Linked DNA regions of Saccharomyces cerevisiae S288C. The protein of the gene in region 1 interacts with the protein of each later gene in a biochemical or structural test. Each region holds a gene or a part of one and is shown in the gene's direction. Other genes may lie near its edges.

Region 1 (3,780 bases):
ATGTTTTATACACAAATATCGGGCATCGCAGCTCCATGGCGAAAAATTTCATCGAAGCCATATTCGGATACCCGGGACACTTCTGACCAATGAGAACCCAGTTTGTTAGTAAGTGCATTTATTAAATAAGTGCAGATGTAATTACGTACTCTACTCTAACATTCTATAAGGAAAAGCTACTTACGTACTAAAATAGTCTCTTCGGTTGTAGATGAAGTTCTGGTAAAGGAATTGTCTACTACAAACTGAATCGCATGATCTACTTCGGCCAAATCCACATCGTCTTGCTTCTCGAAGTATGCAGTATGGAAAGCCTTGGCATCATCTGAAATATATGCAGTTTGCTTGAAATTAGTATACTGCTGTCCAACCCATTCATATTTGGTGGGGTAAGAATTCTTTTTCGTTTTCAGTAGAATCCAAAGTATCAATAAATCATAAGTAGATTCAAAGATGACCTCTTCACCATCTTCGTTGCTGAACAGCGAAGGTAATTCAGTTTCTGCAAAAGCAGGGTCATTCTTAAGAATTTTGCTCATGGTTAGCAATTGGTGCTTGTTCTCTGACAGCATTGTTTTTTCTAGTTTTTTCAACCTCGTTAAAGCCTCTTTTAAAATTTGTTTTTGACCTTTAGTATAAACGTCAGCACAATAGACTCTGTAAGGATCAATTGCATAAGAGTCATCAGTTGCAGGTGGTCCAGTAATGCTGTTGAGTTTGCTCTGCAATGCATTTCGTAGCATTTGTATACCCTGCAAACGGGCTCTCAAATCGTGTAGATCCTCCTCTTCGGCCTTAGAAAGGTAGGTAAAAAGATCCAGTAATGGTTCTAAACATTGTTCATTTTGTATGTTAATGAAGTAAGTCACCCCATTGATGTAGTCTGTAGCACTACGAGTAGCCTTCTTTTCTTGCTGGACACAGTCTTTGTTTTCAAAAGCATAAGTGGTGTAATCCGAAAGTAAGGGCAGCTTCAAACTAGGTTCTGTTTCAAGAATTGTAGATACCACATCTAATGGCAATTTAACTTTCAAAGCCACTGAGTCAAATATGTTGTCTTCTAAAACAAATCCATATCCAGAGAGTAACTCCTCATTTCCCTTACCGCCATAATTATTTGATAGTTCTCGTGATTGGGAGGCGGTACCGATTTTTTCATAACAGAACCACCCATTTTCAGGATACCATTTGACTTTGGAACGGTAGTCATGATTTAGAAGATCGACGATGGGAAGCAGTACAATAGAGTTGTCAGGACAGTTTCTGTTTAGCACATATTCAGGGAATGCTCTTGAAATGAATATAAGGTGCGACCATAAAAATGCAGGAAAAGAATACCAGATAGTTGGTCTTTGAAGTTCTGTTATCTTCAAAATCTTCTCATACAAAGCCTCATATGTCAACTCATCGAGATTATGGAAGGTCTGCACATCATCTGCCACTCTTTCCAAGTCAAACATATCTGAAGAACTGACCAGTTCAAACCACTCTTTAAATATACCTTCGAACTTTTCATGAATCGAATTCCCTATGTTTGTAGATGATAAACGCTTCAACTCGCTTGGGTTCCAGACCAAGGGCGAATTTAGGCGGGAAGGCAATGCATCCAAGTAAGGTTTAAATTTATCATTCACACGAACATTGTCCACGATAGTATCATTATCCCTATCAAATTTTATTTTTGCGAAGAACAACTTCAGCCATCCGTTGATATTCTTAGTGGATTCACTTAGCCCAAAAAACTTCATGGGCAGATTCCTTGAAATGACAATCTCGGGAGGAATCTTGATGCTGGGATTGTCTATATCTTTTTCACATACGCAAATAATGCCCTTAAGATCGGTATATAAAAACTTGAGTTCCTCTGGCACTATTACACCAAATGACGCACCCCACTGAAGTAGTGCTTTTAACGCATCTGATGACATGATAGTCTTCTCTTGTATCTATAACCTTTGTGCTCCATTTTCCGATACAGCATTGCTTATTGAACAGTAAGTTTAACTTCACGCGTTTTTCCTGTAAAGCGCTTAATTTGTTTACCATTCTATAAAAACCTTGAGCTAAGGCCAACTGATGCAATTGCTCAAGTGAATGCATAAACAAAGCAAGATCATTCTTAGCGCAAAAAAAACTGGGATTTTGAAATACAACAAAAGAAAGAAGTAAAAAGGGAATGCAACGCAATAGTTTAGTAAATATCAAACTAAACGCTAATTCGCCATCGAAAAAGACCACAACAAGACCAAATACGTCCAGGATCAATAAACCATGGAGAATATCCCATTCGCCGCAGCAAAGAAACCCGAATTCAAAAATACCTTCACCTGTAAGAGAAAAATTGAACAGATTACCTGTAAACAATAAGAAGTTTTTGGATATGGAAAGCTCCAAAATTCCATCACCTATAAGGAAAGCGACTTCTTCCAAAATGATACACGAAAATAAGAAGCTACCTAAATTTAAATCCCTATCACTCGATGACTTTGAACTGGGGAAGAAATTAGGAAAGGGTAAATTCGGTAAAGTTTATTGCGTTCGGCACAGGAGTACAGGATATATTTGCGCACTGAAAGTAATGGAGAAGGAAGAAATAATAAAGTATAATTTACAGAAACAATTCAGAAGGGAGGTAGAAATACAAACATCGCTAAATCATCCGAATCTAACTAAATCATACGGCTATTTTCATGATGAAAAAAGAGTGTACCTGCTAATGGAATACTTAGTCAATGGGGAAATGTATAAACTATTGAGGTTACACGGACCCTTCAACGATATTTTAGCATCAGATTATATTTATCAAATTGCCAATGCCCTAGATTATATGCATAAAAAGAATATTATTCATAGAGATATTAAACCTGAAAATATACTAATAGGGTTCAATAATGTCATTAAGTTAACGGACTTCGGATGGAGTATAATAAATCCGCCAGAAAATAGAAGGAAAACTGTCTGTGGGACAATTGACTACCTTTCTCCAGAAATGGTGGAGTCAAGGGAATATGATCACACTATAGATGCATGGGCTCTTGGCGTCCTGGCGTTTGAACTACTGACCGGTGCCCCTCCGTTCGAAGAAGAAATGAAAGATACTACATATAAAAGGATAGCAGCACTGGATATCAAAATGCCCAGTAACATTTCTCAGGATGCGCAAGATTTAATACTTAAACTACTAAAATACGACCCCAAAGATAGAATGCGCCTTGGAGACGTAAAAATGCATCCTTGGATACTAAGAAACAAGCCCTTTTGGGAAAATAAGCGGTTATAGAATTAAAGTATGACAGAATCGTTTGAAGGGCACTATTAATCACTCCCGCACATATCACATAATACTAAGTATCCATTTCTAATATTTCATTACTCTTTTCGGCATCGTATATTGCGATATTTGATTAAATTTTCTTGTTCATTTTTTCCTCTTTTCTTTCGCCTTTGTCGAAAGAAAAGAGGAAAACAAGCTGAAAATTGCTATGCATTAAAGTAGCAGATTTACTTTGTTGAGTTGGTTCTGATCAATAATAAGAGTAATGAAAGAAAGCAAAAAAATGGCTAAAGATAATTTAACTAATTTGCTCTCTCAATTGAACATTCAATTGTCTCAAGACGAGCATTCGCAGGTCGAACAGACTTGCGTGAAACTATTGGATTCTGGATGTGAGAATCCAGCGGATGTATTTAGACGTTGCTTAGTAGCTGTTATCCAACAGGACAAGTATCAAAAGGCTTTACATTATTTAAAAAAATTCAAACATATAGATGACAAGTACG
Region 2 (3,206 bases), on another chromosome or scaffold:
TAGCCGAGTATATTTAAGGGATTCTTATGCAATGATGAAATATTTTTCACCTATAACGCCGACTACTGAAAACAGAGGGCCATCTTAACCGTTTTGCATTCAGTAACCCATACTCAGGATTTAATAAAAGAGGAAAGCAATGTCTCTACTAGGCGCCAGGTCCACTTACCGTTGGTTTTCAATCGCTGCATCAATTCCGACTAAGAATGCTATTGGCAAATCCACGTACCTCTTAGCTTCAAGAAATCAACAGTACCGAGGCATCATAACGTCAACTGTAGACTGGAAACCAATCAAGACAGGTAAGAGCCCAAATGATGATTCTCGAAGAGAAAGATCCTTTGGCAAGAAAATTGTTCTGGGTCTGATGTTCGCGATGCCAATAATATCCTTCTATTTGGGAACTTGGCAAGTAAGGAGATTGAAGTGGAAAACCAAGCTGATTGCGGCATGCGAAACTAAACTTACTTATGAACCAATACCACTTCCTAAGTCATTTACACCTGACATGTGCGAGGATTGGGAATACCGTAAAGTTATACTTACCGGACACTTCCTTCACAATGAAGAGATGTTTGTTGGTCCAAGAAAGAAAAATGGAGAAAAGGGTTATTTTCTGTTTACACCGTTCATTAGAGATGACACCGGTGAGAAAGTTCTGATAGAAAGAGGGTGGATAAGTGAAGAAAAAGTTGCTCCTGACTCAAGAAATTTACACCATTTGTCGTTGCCTCAAGAAGAACACTTGAAAGTGGTTTGCTTAGTAAGACCTCCAAAGAAAAGAGGCTCGCTACAATGGGCGAAAAAGGATCCAAATTCTAGATTGTGGCAGGTGCCAGACATATATGACATGGCAAGATCATCAGGGTGCACGCCCATTCAATTTCAAGCCTTGTATGACATGAAGGACCATCCAATAATCGAGGAACACACAAGAAACGAGGCTTCACAAAACAATTCCACCTCTAGCCTGTGGAAGTTCTGGAAACGAGAACCTACGACTGCTGTAAACGGAACGCAAGCTGTTGATAATAATACATCGAAGCCTCGTTCTAGGCAGGAAATGCCGACAGACCAAACAATTGAATTCGATGAACGACAGTTTATCAAAGCAGGTGTTCCCATAGGCCGGAAGCCCACTATTGATTTAAAGAATAACCATCTACAATATTTGGTAACGTGGTATGGCCTTTCGTTTTTGAGCACAATCTTCCTCATTGTGGCTCTTAGGAAGGCGAAAAGAGGGGGCGTTGTGTCCCAAGACCAACTAATGAAAGAGAAACTGAAGCATTCAAGGAAATATATGTAAACGGCAAACTCCTCTGCCCATACTATCGAACTCTATCCAAGAAGCGCGTAATTTCACGAGCACTGCCTAAACGGTTTTCCACATTAGTTTTGCAACTACAATGATTCGGATATGGCACATTTACATAATTTAAACTTGTACATAACTAACACCTTTTTATCCATATACCTTATGTGCCGCTCAAGATATGAACATTGCGCGTTGCCCGGACAATATCGATAAATAATAGCCAAAACAAACATGTTTTATCGACGCATGAATCCTTTGGCGTTAAACTTGTCCAATTGCACTGAAACTTGGAGCGTATAAGCTCAGCAATTGCACCAAAACAATATCAGAAAAGGCTTGTATTGCCACTTTCACCTATGAGCGAAGATAAAGCTAAATTAGGGACCACAAGGTCTGCCACGGAATATCGTTTATCCATTGGTAGCGCTCCGACTTCAAGAAGGTCGTCTATGGGTGAATCCTCATCCCTGATGAAATTTGCTGATCAAGAGGGATTAACGAGTTCCGTTGGCGAATATAACGAGAATACCATACAACAGCTTCTGTTGCCTAAAATAAGAGAACTGAGCGATTCAATCATTACTTTAGATTCCAATTTCACGCGCTTAAATTTTATCCACGAGAGTTTAGCTGATCTTAATGAATCCCTAGGTTCGTTGTTGTACGGTATTATGAGCAATTCATGGTGCGTAGAATTCTCACAGGCGCCTCATGATATTCAAGACGATTTGATCGCTATTAAACAATTGAAATCGTTGGAAGATGAGAAAAATAACTTAGTAATGGAACTCTCCAATATGGAACGCGGGATTAAAAGAAAAAAAGACGAACAAGGTGAAAATGATTTGGCCAAGGCATCTCAGAACAAACAGTTTAACCAGCCGCTATTTCCCTCCTCACAAGTAAGAAAATACAGGTCATATGACAACAGAGACAAGAGGAAGCCCTCCAAGATAGGCAACAACTTACAAGTAGAGAATGAGGAGGACTATGAAGACGATACTAGTAGTGAAGCTTCTTTTGTTCTAAATCCAACAAATATCGGTATGTCCAAATCATCTCAAGGTCACGTGACTAAAACCACGCGTTTGAATAATAATACCAACAGTAAACTGAGAAGAAAGTCCATCTTACATACAATCAGAAATAGCATTGCTTCCGGCGCTGATTTACCCATCGAAAACGACAATGTTGTTAATTTGGGAGATCTGCATCCAAATAATCGAATATCACTCGGAAGTGGTGCTGCAAGAGTGGTCAATGGGCCCGTTACGAAGAACAGAAATTCAATGTTCTCAGGACGTGCTGAAAGGAAACCCACAGAAAGCAGACATTCTGTTGCAAAGAAAACTGAAAAAAAAATAAATACAAGGCCCCCCTTCAGATGACTACGCCCAACCCAACCAAAGAATTATCCTCCTCACAAAATATATCGCTAGCATGCGTGAGTTATGGATAAGAAGAATATTTGATGAGCTGACTGATTCTTTATAGCAATAGGGAGGAAGGCAGTACACATATCAGCAGTGCATGGGCACAACCCGCATTACAACGAAACATGATATATCTATATAAAAGAAGATACGGACAGGCGGTCGAGGCTATTACTGTGCCACTATGCGAGTCATGAATGATTTTTAAATTAGTTAGTACCCCTTTATATAACGTCTTCAATAAAAGTGCGGGAAAATTCGGGTAATATTTTCTATAACTGTCATTTTTTTTTCGTTATGTATGGCAAACCAAATTGACAAGAAACTGGACAACGGTTAAAGCAAAAGGAGGAAGAAAGATATTGATTTGTGCTTTGAAGAATAACCCAAGCGAACAGGTCATTAATTGCCTAGAATCTTTACATAGAATTTGCCTTTTATGGAAGAGACGGGAG
Region 3 (5,374 bases), on another chromosome or scaffold:
AAAACTGTTGTGCTCGATCCTGAATGGAAAAGACTGACACTATAAGGAGACTTATTCTAGATATCGTAGAACAAACATATGTTACTTTAACGTCGCTGGACACTCACAGACAAGCCTCAGGGGAGACGTTTGAAACCGTAGAGGAATACGTATGAAATATAAATCAACAAACATACGTACTGAATTATGTATCAGGATATATTGCTTTCACAGTTTGGAAATTGCCTCTATCACCAAGATATTCACTGTTAAAAAAAAAAATGCGAAAAAATTCAAATTTCAACAGCGATATTCGCCTTCAGTATATCAATATAAAGCAATTATGACACCTCATTTATCGTGCATATAAGATCATGCAATGAGTATGGATAACAATGATGACCATGAATCTAAATTGTCAATCTTGATGGACATGTTTCCAGCTATTTCCAAATCCAAATTACAAGTACATTTACTTGAAAACAATAATGATTTGGATTTAACGATAGGCTTGCTGTTAAAAGAAAACGACGATAAGTCTACAGTTGATAATGAATTACATCAACTGTACGACATGTTTCCTCAGCTTGATTGCAGCGTTATAAAAGATCAGTTTGTAATAAATGAGAAGTCCGTAGAATCGACTATTTCTGATCTTCTGAATTATGAAACCCTGCAAAAACTTAAAGACAATCAAGCAAATTCTCCTGATAGCGTAAAAAGGAACGAAAAGAAAAATAATTGGGAATCAACAAACGATCACATAGAGAGTATAATAAAGTTTACCGACGCTCCCAAAAATATTGCGCAGGAATACTTAGCCGAAAATGGTTTTGATACAGTAAAGGCGATCATCAAAATCATTTTGGATTATTACGACAAAAGGGATTTTAAAAAAGATGTGGATACTTTCAAAGTAAAACGGAGTCCTAATACGACTGTGAGAGGTGGTCGAGTTCAATCATCGACGGGGCTTGCCCACGTTTTGAAAAAGGGTAAAGAATCCGCAAATGTTGCTCAAGAGAGTCTCAAAAGGCCAAGGAGTTATAAGCACTCCTTGGATAGTCCGCAGATGGTTGAGTTAAATGAATTAGTTGCAGATAATCGCGATCTCAAAGCCATAAACCATGAATTTTTGCAAAAATGCCTGCAATTTTATGATGGAGATGTTGTAAAGGTGTTGAACATATCGTCCTTATTGATCGAAGATGACAAGAATATTACGAAAACTTGGAACTTTGACGAAGGTTTTACCTTGACATCCAGAGATAATTGTAAGCAACATTTACCCAAATTTTCAACACCGCAGATTTCCCGCAGAAATGAGGTAGGAAATACTTATAAATTGCCCCTTCATGACAAAGAAACCCCCGAGGGAGCTGTGCCGGTTATAAATAACCTGTTTCAAACATACAGATTGGATTTCCATGGTTTTCTTCCCAGTGAAGCGGTTTCAACACTGAAACTTGCATTAAATAAGTGGTGGTCCAAAGAGGTAGCAGAACGAGAGTTGAACTCCCACAACATAAACTCATATGGCTCAAAAGTACAGTTTGTAAGCCCGTTAATCGTGGTAACTGGTAGAGGTATCCACAGCATCGGCGGGATCTCAAAGGTTCGACTGCAGGTTAAAAGTTTTCTTGAAAAAAATCACTACATATTTTGGGAAGAATCTTCCTACTTCAGAATTGAGGGTAAGAAGAAGAAATAAAACCTATCTGATTTTTCTATAAAGGTTATAAACGCTAGGCTTCTTTAAACTGCATTGGGTTTTTTCTCAATTTCGAGAAAAATAATATAACGCGTTAGAAATGGTGATGTAAATAAATGAATGTTAGAAAAATACATACGTTAAACAAATAAGTTAGACATTAGCACAGGACAGCACTTCACTCATGGATTATATGAAATTGGGGCTTAAGTCCCGTAAAACTGGTATTGATGTTAAGCAAGATATACCCAAAGATGAATACAGCATGGAAAATATTGATGATTTTTTCAAAGATGATGAAACTAGTCTTATCAGTATGAGAAGGAAAAGCAGAAGAAAATCATCGCTTTTCTTACCATCAACGTTAAATGGCGATACTAAGAACGTATTACCGCCATTTCTACAGTCATATAAATCTCAAGATGATGAAGTTGTCCAAAGCCCATCTGGGAAAGGCGATGGATCAAGACGATCATCTTTGTTAAGCCATCAATCAAACTTCCTGAGTCCAGCCAATGATTTCGAGCCTATTGAGGAAGAACCAGAACAAGAAGAAAATGATATCAGAGGCAATGATTTTGCCACACCAATCACACAGAAATTGAGTAAACCTACATATAAAAGAAAGTACTCCACTCGGTATAGCCTTGACACTTCAGAAAGCCCTTCTGTAAGGTTGACACCTGATAGAATCACTAATAAGAATGTTTATTCAGATGTACCTGATTTGGTTGCTGATGAGGATGACGATGATAGAGTAAACACTTCTTTAAACACATCTGATAACGCATTATTAGAAGACGAATTAGAAGATGACGGGTTTATACCTGAAAGTGAAGAGGACGGTGATTACATTGAAAGTGACTCATCTTTGGATTCAGGCTCGGATTCAGCCAGTGATTCAGATGGAGATAACACCTATCAAGAAGTAGAAGAGGAGGCTGAGGTGAACACAAATGACAATGAAGATGATTATATAAGACGACAAGCGAGTGATGTGGTTCGTACAGATTCAATAATTGATAGAAACGGGCTTCGGAAATCTACAAGAGTCAAGGTGGCGCCTTTGCAGTATTGGAGGAACGAAAAAATAGTATATAAGAGGAAGTCCAATAAACCCGTTCTTGACATAGACAAAATTGTCACATATGATGAATCTGAAGACGAAGAGGAGATATTGGCAGCACAAAGAAGGAAGAAACAAAAAAAAAAACCTACACCAACCAGACCTTACAACTACGTACCTACGGGGAGACCAAGAGGAAGGCCAAAGAAGGATCCAAATGCAAAGGAAAATTTGATTCCAGAAGATCCCAACGAGGATATTATAGAAAGGATAGAATCTGGAGGCATAGAAAATGGCGAGTGGCTGAAACATGGAATACTGGAAGCTAATGTGAAAATTAGCGACACTAAGGAGGAAACTAAGGATGAAATTATTGCATTCGCGCCCAATTTGTCGCAAACTGAACAAGTAAAAGACACGAAGGACGAGAATTTTGCCCTTGAGATAATGTTCGATAAGCATAAAGAATATTTTGCTAGCGGCATATTAAAACTACCAGCTATTTCTGGACAAAAGAAATTAAGCAACTCATTTAGGACATATATTACGTTCCACGTGATACAGGGAATAGTCGAAGTAACTGTATGTAAGAACAAGTTCTTGAGCGTTAAAGGTTCCACTTTCCAAATACCGGCATTCAACGAGTACGCGATTGCCAATAGAGGGAATGATGAAGCCAAAATGTTCTTCGTTCAAGTGACCGTTTCAGAAGACGCTAACGATGACAACGACAAAGAATTAGACAGTACGTTTGACACTTTTGGGTAATTATGATGTGAATATTCTCATTATGCATGCTATGTACTGAAGAAATATAACTAGGTCCATACGCTTATACTGTTAAACATGTGAACTTTTCTGTAAGAAAATGAATCACGTAAAATTTCGCACCGAACTTTCGTAGATGAGAGAACAAAAAGCAGAAAAAGAGAAAGAACAGTAAAGTAACACTTAGTTAGCATATTTAAATAAAAGTCTAAAGGACCAGCAAAGAGTTATTAGGTGTGATGACGGATGAAAAAGTGAACTCAGATCAGAATATGAACGGTAAGCAGGGAGTTAACTTAATTTCATCCTTGCCTACAACACAAGTGCCGGTTTCAATTTTGACCAACAAGGAGAGAAGAAAAAGTATTCACGATGAATCAAATTTCGAAAGATCTGATAGTCATGAAGATCAATCAAAATCCAACTCTAATAGGAGGAATATTTACAAAAACGATTATAGCACAAATTTGAGGGATTTCTCTTTTGCCAATCTGAAGCAAAATAGTGAAAGGAACAAAGATGGCCATGAAATACAGATCAACACCAGTATGCCAGCTAATACAAATGGCCAGCAAAAAAGGTTTTCACCTTCATTACCTTCTGCTGTTTCATTTACGGTGCCCGAGGTGGAAAGGTTGCCGTATCATAGATATTCGATATCCAATAAACCTGGAAAGCAGCAGCAGCAGCAGGAACAACTGCAGCAAAATCAACAACAAGAAGAGCAGCAAAAGGCACAACTGCAGGAGCAAAATCAACGAGCAAAACAGCAAGAAGAGGTGAAGCAAATTCAGGAGCAAGTGCAAAAAAAGCAAACTGAAAGACAGCAACTGATAGACGAAAAGGAGAGGATAGCGAATGCAATATTTAAGGAGAACACTACTAATGATGGTACTGATATCAGGAAACATTCGGTATCGAGTGGTACGAGCAATAGCGAAGATGAAGTAGATTCACCTTCGATGGAAAAAAATTCTATCGTTCATATGCCAGGTGATTTTATCTACTTCAATCCCAAGTCAAACGCTTCTAAACCTATCACTGCAAAGGCGGCGCCATTATCGGCTAATAACTCCACACATAAAAACAAGGAAGTTATCACTGCACCCACAGGGCCTCGTGTACCCTTCACAGAGTTCTTTCAGAAGGAAGACGACAAGAAATTCCACATTCTCATTGGTGCGACGGGCTCAGTTGCCACAATAAAAGTACCTCTAATTATTGATAAACTTTTCAAGATATATGGGCCTGAGAAAATCTCTATTCAGTTGATTGTCACAAAACCCGCTGAGCATTTTTTGAAAGGGCTCAAAATGTCAACACACGTTAAAATTTGGAGGGAGGAAGACGCTTGGGTATTCGACGCTGTGAATAAGAATGATACTAGCTTGAGTCTGAACTTGATATTGCACCATGAATTAAGAAAATGGGCTGATATTTTCCTGATTGCGCCTTTGTCAGCTAACACACTTGCTAAACTGGCCAATGGTATATGTAACAATTTGCTAACTTCTGTGATGAGAGATTGGTCACCACTGACCCCAGTGTTGATTGCGCCTGCAATGAATACATTCATGTATATCAATCCTATGACAAAGAAACACCTGACGAGTTTAGTGCAAGACTATCCGTTCATCCAAGTTTTGAAACCGGTGGAAAAGGTATTAATATGCGGAGATATTGGTATGGGTGGTATGAGAGAATGGACAGATATTGTAGAGATCGTTAGGAGGAGAATCAATGAAATACGGAAAGCTAGGGACGAGGAAACTGGTGATAAAGAGCAAGAACAAGAAGAACAAGAGGGTGCTGACAATGAGGACGACGATGATGAGGATGACGAAGAGGAT
Region 4 (4,542 bases), on another chromosome or scaffold:
GTGTATGTATATTATAGTCTTTATCATCAATGGCATCCCAACAATTATCTTAAAATTCACCCATTTGTCAAGATAATGGTTGATTCTTATTTAGACACAATAAAAAAACTTGAAGACATCTGCTTCTGAGCTGTAGAGGTACCAATTCGACGAAATATAAATATTTAAAACTAAGAGAAAAAATCCAACAAATAACGTTCCGTGATAGTTTAATGGTCAGAATGGGCGCTTGTCGCGTGCCAGATCGGGGTTCAATTCCCCGTCGCGGAGATTTTTTATTTTGCTTTTTATTCCTCCTGTAATATCGCTTTATACGGAAAAACTGAATTCTTTCATTATGATGAGTTCGAGAGTAACCATTTTTACTTCGTGCAACGATGCATATATTTATCTTTTACGTGAAGGGAATTCCCAAGCGTTCCCTAATGCAGTCGGGAGCAAAATGGTCAACTTGAACACTATCCCACCCAAAAATGGCAGGGACTACTACATTGCGCTTGGACTTGAAGGTTCTGCAAATAAACTGGGCGTTGGTATAGTTAAGCATCCGCTTCTGCCTAAACATGCCAACAGCGATCTATCTTATGATTGCGAAGCTGAGATGCTTTCTAATATTAGAGACACATATGTCACACCTCCTGGGGAGGGATTTTTGCCTCGAGACACGGCAAGGCATCACAGAAATTGGTGCATAAGACTCATAAAACAAGCACTGGCCGAAGCTGACATCAAAAGCCCGACACTAGACATTGATGTAATTTGCTTTACCAAAGGTCCCGGCATGGGGGCCCCTCTGCATTCAGTTGTCATCGCCGCCAGAACGTGCTCCTTACTGTGGGACGTGCCACTGGTGGGAGTAAACCACTGCATTGGTCACATCGAAATGGGGAGAGAAATCACTAAAGCTCAAAATCCTGTGGTACTGTATGTAAGTGGTGGAAATACACAAGTTATTGCATACTCGGAAAAAAGGTACCGTATCTTTGGTGAAACGCTTGATATTGCTATCGGTAATTGTCTTGATAGATTTGCAAGAACTCTGAAGATACCTAATGAGCCCTCGCCTGGCTACAACATCGAGCAGTTAGCTAAAAAAGCCCCTCACAAAGAAAACTTGGTAGAACTTCCCTATACAGTAAAGGGGATGGATCTTTCGATGAGTGGTATATTGGCTTCCATCGATTTACTTGCCAAGGATCTATTTAAGGGCAATAAGAAAAATAAGATCCTATTCGACAAGACAACGGGCGAGCAAAAAGTCACTGTAGAGGATCTTTGCTACTCTCTGCAAGAGAACCTATTCGCCATGCTAGTTGAAATAACAGAAAGAGCTATGGCTCACGTTAACTCCAATCAAGTTTTGATCGTAGGCGGTGTTGGTTGTAACGTGCGATTACAAGAAATGATGGCGCAAATGTGTAAAGACAGGGCCAATGGGCAAGTACATGCTACAGATAATAGGTTTTGTATCGATAACGGAGTTATGATTGCCCAAGCAGGACTACTAGAGTATAGAATGGGTGGGATCGTGAAGGACTTTTCTGAAACTGTTGTTACGCAGAAATTCAGAACCGATGAAGTATACGCAGCCTGGCGTGATTAACGATTTTTGTTACAGTTAGCCTAATGTTCACACTACGAATATATATATATATTTATATATGCCATACACCTTACATTTACAGCTCAGTGTATAACCTTGTGGAAGCGCGAAAATAAGCAAGAGACATTTGAAAATAATCAATAAACAAAGCTCAAAAAAATTAGATCATCACCTAACAAAATAAGACGTGGCAATTACAGAATGGGGGAAAGCTTGGATAGATGTATAGATGATATTAATAGGGCGGTGGACTCTATGTCCACACTCTATTTCAAGCCACCAGGAATTTTTCATAATGCCATCCTACAGGGAGCAAGCAACAAGGCAAGCATTAGAAAAGACATTACTAGACTAATAAAGGACTGTAACCACGACGAGGCGTATCTTCTGTTCAAAGTCAACCCTGAGAAACAATCCGTTTCACGTAGAGACGGCAAGGAGGGAGTATTCGACTATGTTATTAAACGAGATACGGACATGAAAAGAAATAGAAGGCTGGGCAGACCAGGGGAAAAACCGATCATCCATGTGCCCAAGGAAGTATATTTGAACAAAGATCGTCTTGATTTGAACAATAAAAGGAGAAGAACCGCCACTACAAGTGGCGGTGGCTTGAACGGTTTTATTTTTGATACCGATCTTATAGGATCCTCTGTCATTTCAAATTCAAGTTCAGGTACATTCAAAGCATTATCAGCCGTGTTCAAGGATGATCCGCAAATTCAAAGGCTCCTATATGCCTTGGAAAATGGAAGCGTGCTCATGGAAGAAGAATCCAATAACCAAAGAAGAAAAACCATCTTTGTCGAGGATTTCCCTACTGATTTAATTCTTAAAGTTATGGCCGAAGTAACAGATTTATGGCCACTAACAGAGTTCAAGCAGGATTACGACCAATTGTACCATAATTATGAACAACTTTCTTCCAAATTGCGCTTCATCAAGAAAGAAGTTTTGCTTCAAGATGATCGCTTAAAGACTATGTCACAGTACCATCCTTCTTCTTCTCACGACGTTGCTAAGATTATTCGAAAAGAAAAAGATGAAATTAGGCGGCTAGAAATGGAGATAGCCAACTTGCAAGAGTAGGGGAGCACTTCTCCTCAAGAATAGATATTTCCTTTGTCCTAATTGCATACATAGGCCACTGCAAATCATATAATTATGTATTACCTTACATCTAAATGTATAAAACCAACTGAGCGGATCCACCATGGGTCTGTCTCCTGTTAAAGCATGTAGCTTCATGTTTCTCACATAAACTTTCCTCATCGTAATGGAAAAAAAAAATAGTCATAAAAAAAAAACTAACCATGAATGACATATAAGATTACCACGAGCGAGAGTAAAAAAGAGTATCTCTATATGGGTTCGGGCGATACTAGAGGAGAAAGCTCTCTGGTAGCTAAACCAATCGAAATTATACTTAATAAGCTACCACATGCCATACTAGCGCAACAACAATTTCAAAAATATATAACGAGCCCCATCTACAGATATCTTTCCAAACTTCTACTGTTCAGAGAGGTGGCTTGGCCCGAAAGTACAAAAGATACCCAGAAAGGACAAGTAGGGATATTTTCCTTTCAAAACAATTATGCAGACTCTGCAACAACTTTCAGAATACTTGCTCATTTAGATGAGCAGCGATACCCGCTACCCAACGGTGCCGCTGAAAAGAATTTACCTTCTTTATTTGAAGGATTCAAAGCTACCGTTTCCATCATTCAACAGAGACTGTTGTTAGACAATGTAGACGGGGCCACGAATAGTGATAAGGAAAAATACGTTCAATTGCCGGATATTAATACTGGTTTTGTGAATAAAACGTACTCTAGAATTGACCTAACACATTTACTTGAGGATGTAGAAACTAACGTGGAAAATCTGTCAATCAATAAAACGTTAGAGATGGATGAGTTGACCAGATTAGATTCCATGATCAACGAACTAGAATCCAGGAAATTAAAAATCCTGGAAAGGGTTAAGCACATTGATAGTAAGTCTACCAATCTTGAGAATGATGTAACACTGATAAAGGATAGAATAAATTTTATCGAGGAATACAATTTGGAAGCTGATCGTGAACAGAGCTTACGGAAGCAAATGGAAGAAGAAAGATCATCTGAAGCGTCGTCCTTCACGCAAAATGAAGAAGCCATATCGTCGTTATGTGATGTTGAAAGTAAGGATACGAGATTAAAAGATTTTTACAAGATGCCCCATGAAAAAAGCCACGATAAAAACAGGCAAATTATCTCAGAAACATATAGCCGAAATACCACGGCTTTCAGAATGACAATACCCCATGGCGAACATGGAAACAGCATAACCGCATTAGACTTTGATACACCATGGGGAACCTTGTGCTCATCAAGCTACCAAGATCGTATAGTAAAAGTGTGGGATTTGAACCATGGGATACAAGTTGGAGAGCTGCCTGGTCACCTTGCTACTGTTAATTGCATGCAAATAGATAAGAAAAATTACAATATGTTGATTACTGGAAGTAAGGATGCCACTCTGAAGTTATGGGACTTAAATCTGAGTAGAGAAATATATTTGGACCATAGTCCATTGAAGGAGAAGACAGAAGAAATTGTTACACCATGTATCCATAATTTTGAGTTACATAAAGACGAAATCACAGCCCTGTCTTTTGATTCTGAAGCTTTGGTTAGCGGATCTAGGGACAAAAAAATATTCCACTGGGATTTAACGACGGGCAAATGTATTCAGCAACTTGACCTTATCTTCACACCTACACATAGCGACATTAAAATGCCTGCACGTTCATTAAACAATGGTGCATGTTTACTTGGCACAGAAGCACCAATGATAGGAGCCCTCCAATGTTACAACTCTGCATTAGCAACAGGAACAAAAGATGGCATTGTGCGACTATGGGATCTAAGAGTTGGCAAACCGGTGAGATTACT

Evidence for each region.
Region 2: of the proteins of IPL1 (region 1) and DAM1, one has a biochemical effect on the other in vitro, tested with the Saccharomyces cerevisiae proteins (7 studies listed by BioGRID).
Region 3: of the proteins of IPL1 (region 1) and MIF2, one has a biochemical effect on the other in vitro, tested with the Saccharomyces cerevisiae proteins (2 studies listed by BioGRID).
Region 4: of the proteins of IPL1 (region 1) and SPC34, one has a biochemical effect on the other in vitro, tested with the Saccharomyces cerevisiae proteins (2 studies listed by BioGRID).

The regions. Positions count from the first base shown.
Region 1 is NC_001148.4:155,990-159,769, reverse strand, and holds IPL1 (aurora kinase), read left to right. Parts: upstream 1-2,176; coding exon 2,177-3,280; downstream 3,281-3,780. Other genes in the region: RKM1 (protein-lysine N-methyltransferase), read right to left, coding at 177-1,928; signal recognition particle subunit SRP72, read left to right, coding at 3,558-3,780. UniProt on the Saccharomyces cerevisiae protein: Component of the chromosomal passenger complex (CPC), a complex that acts as a key regulator of chromosome segregation and cytokinesis.
Region 2 is NC_001139.9:717,219-720,424, forward strand, and holds DAM1 (Dam1p), read left to right. Parts: upstream 1-1,674; coding exon 1,675-2,706; downstream 2,707-3,206. Other genes in the region: cytochrome oxidase assembly protein SHY1, read left to right, coding at 140-1,309; chromatin-remodeling histone chaperone SPT6, read left to right, coding at 3,191-3,206. UniProt on the Saccharomyces cerevisiae protein: Component of the DASH complex that connects microtubules with kinetochores and couples microtubule depolymerisation to chromosome movement; it is involved in retrieving kinetochores to the spindle poles before their re-orientation on the spindle in early mitosis and allows microtubule depolymerization to pull chromosomes apart and resist detachment during anaphase.
Region 3 is NC_001143.9:271,520-276,893, forward strand, and holds MIF2 (Mif2p), read left to right. Parts: upstream 1-1,874; coding exon 1,875-3,524; downstream 3,525-5,374. Other genes in the region: CUE2 (Cue2p), read left to right, coding at 359-1,690; phosphopantothenoylcysteine decarboxylase complex subunit CAB3, read left to right, coding at 3,764-5,374. UniProt on the Saccharomyces cerevisiae protein: Component of the kinetochore, a multiprotein complex that assembles on centromeric DNA and attaches chromosomes to spindle microtubules, mediating chromosome segregation and sister chromatid segregation during meiosis and mitosis.
Region 4 is NC_001143.9:509,060-513,601, reverse strand, and holds SPC34 (Spc34p), read left to right. Parts: upstream 1-1,804; coding exon 1,805-2,692; downstream 2,693-4,542. Other genes in the region: KAE1 (tRNA N6-adenosine threonylcarbamoyltransferase), read left to right, coding at 443-1,603; CAF4 (Caf4p), read left to right, coding at 2,969-4,542. UniProt on the Saccharomyces cerevisiae protein: Component of the DASH complex that connects microtubules with kinetochores and couples microtubule depolymerisation to chromosome movement; it is involved in retrieving kinetochores to the spindle poles before their re-orientation on the spindle in early mitosis and allows microtubule depolymerization to pull chromosomes apart and resist detachment during anaphase.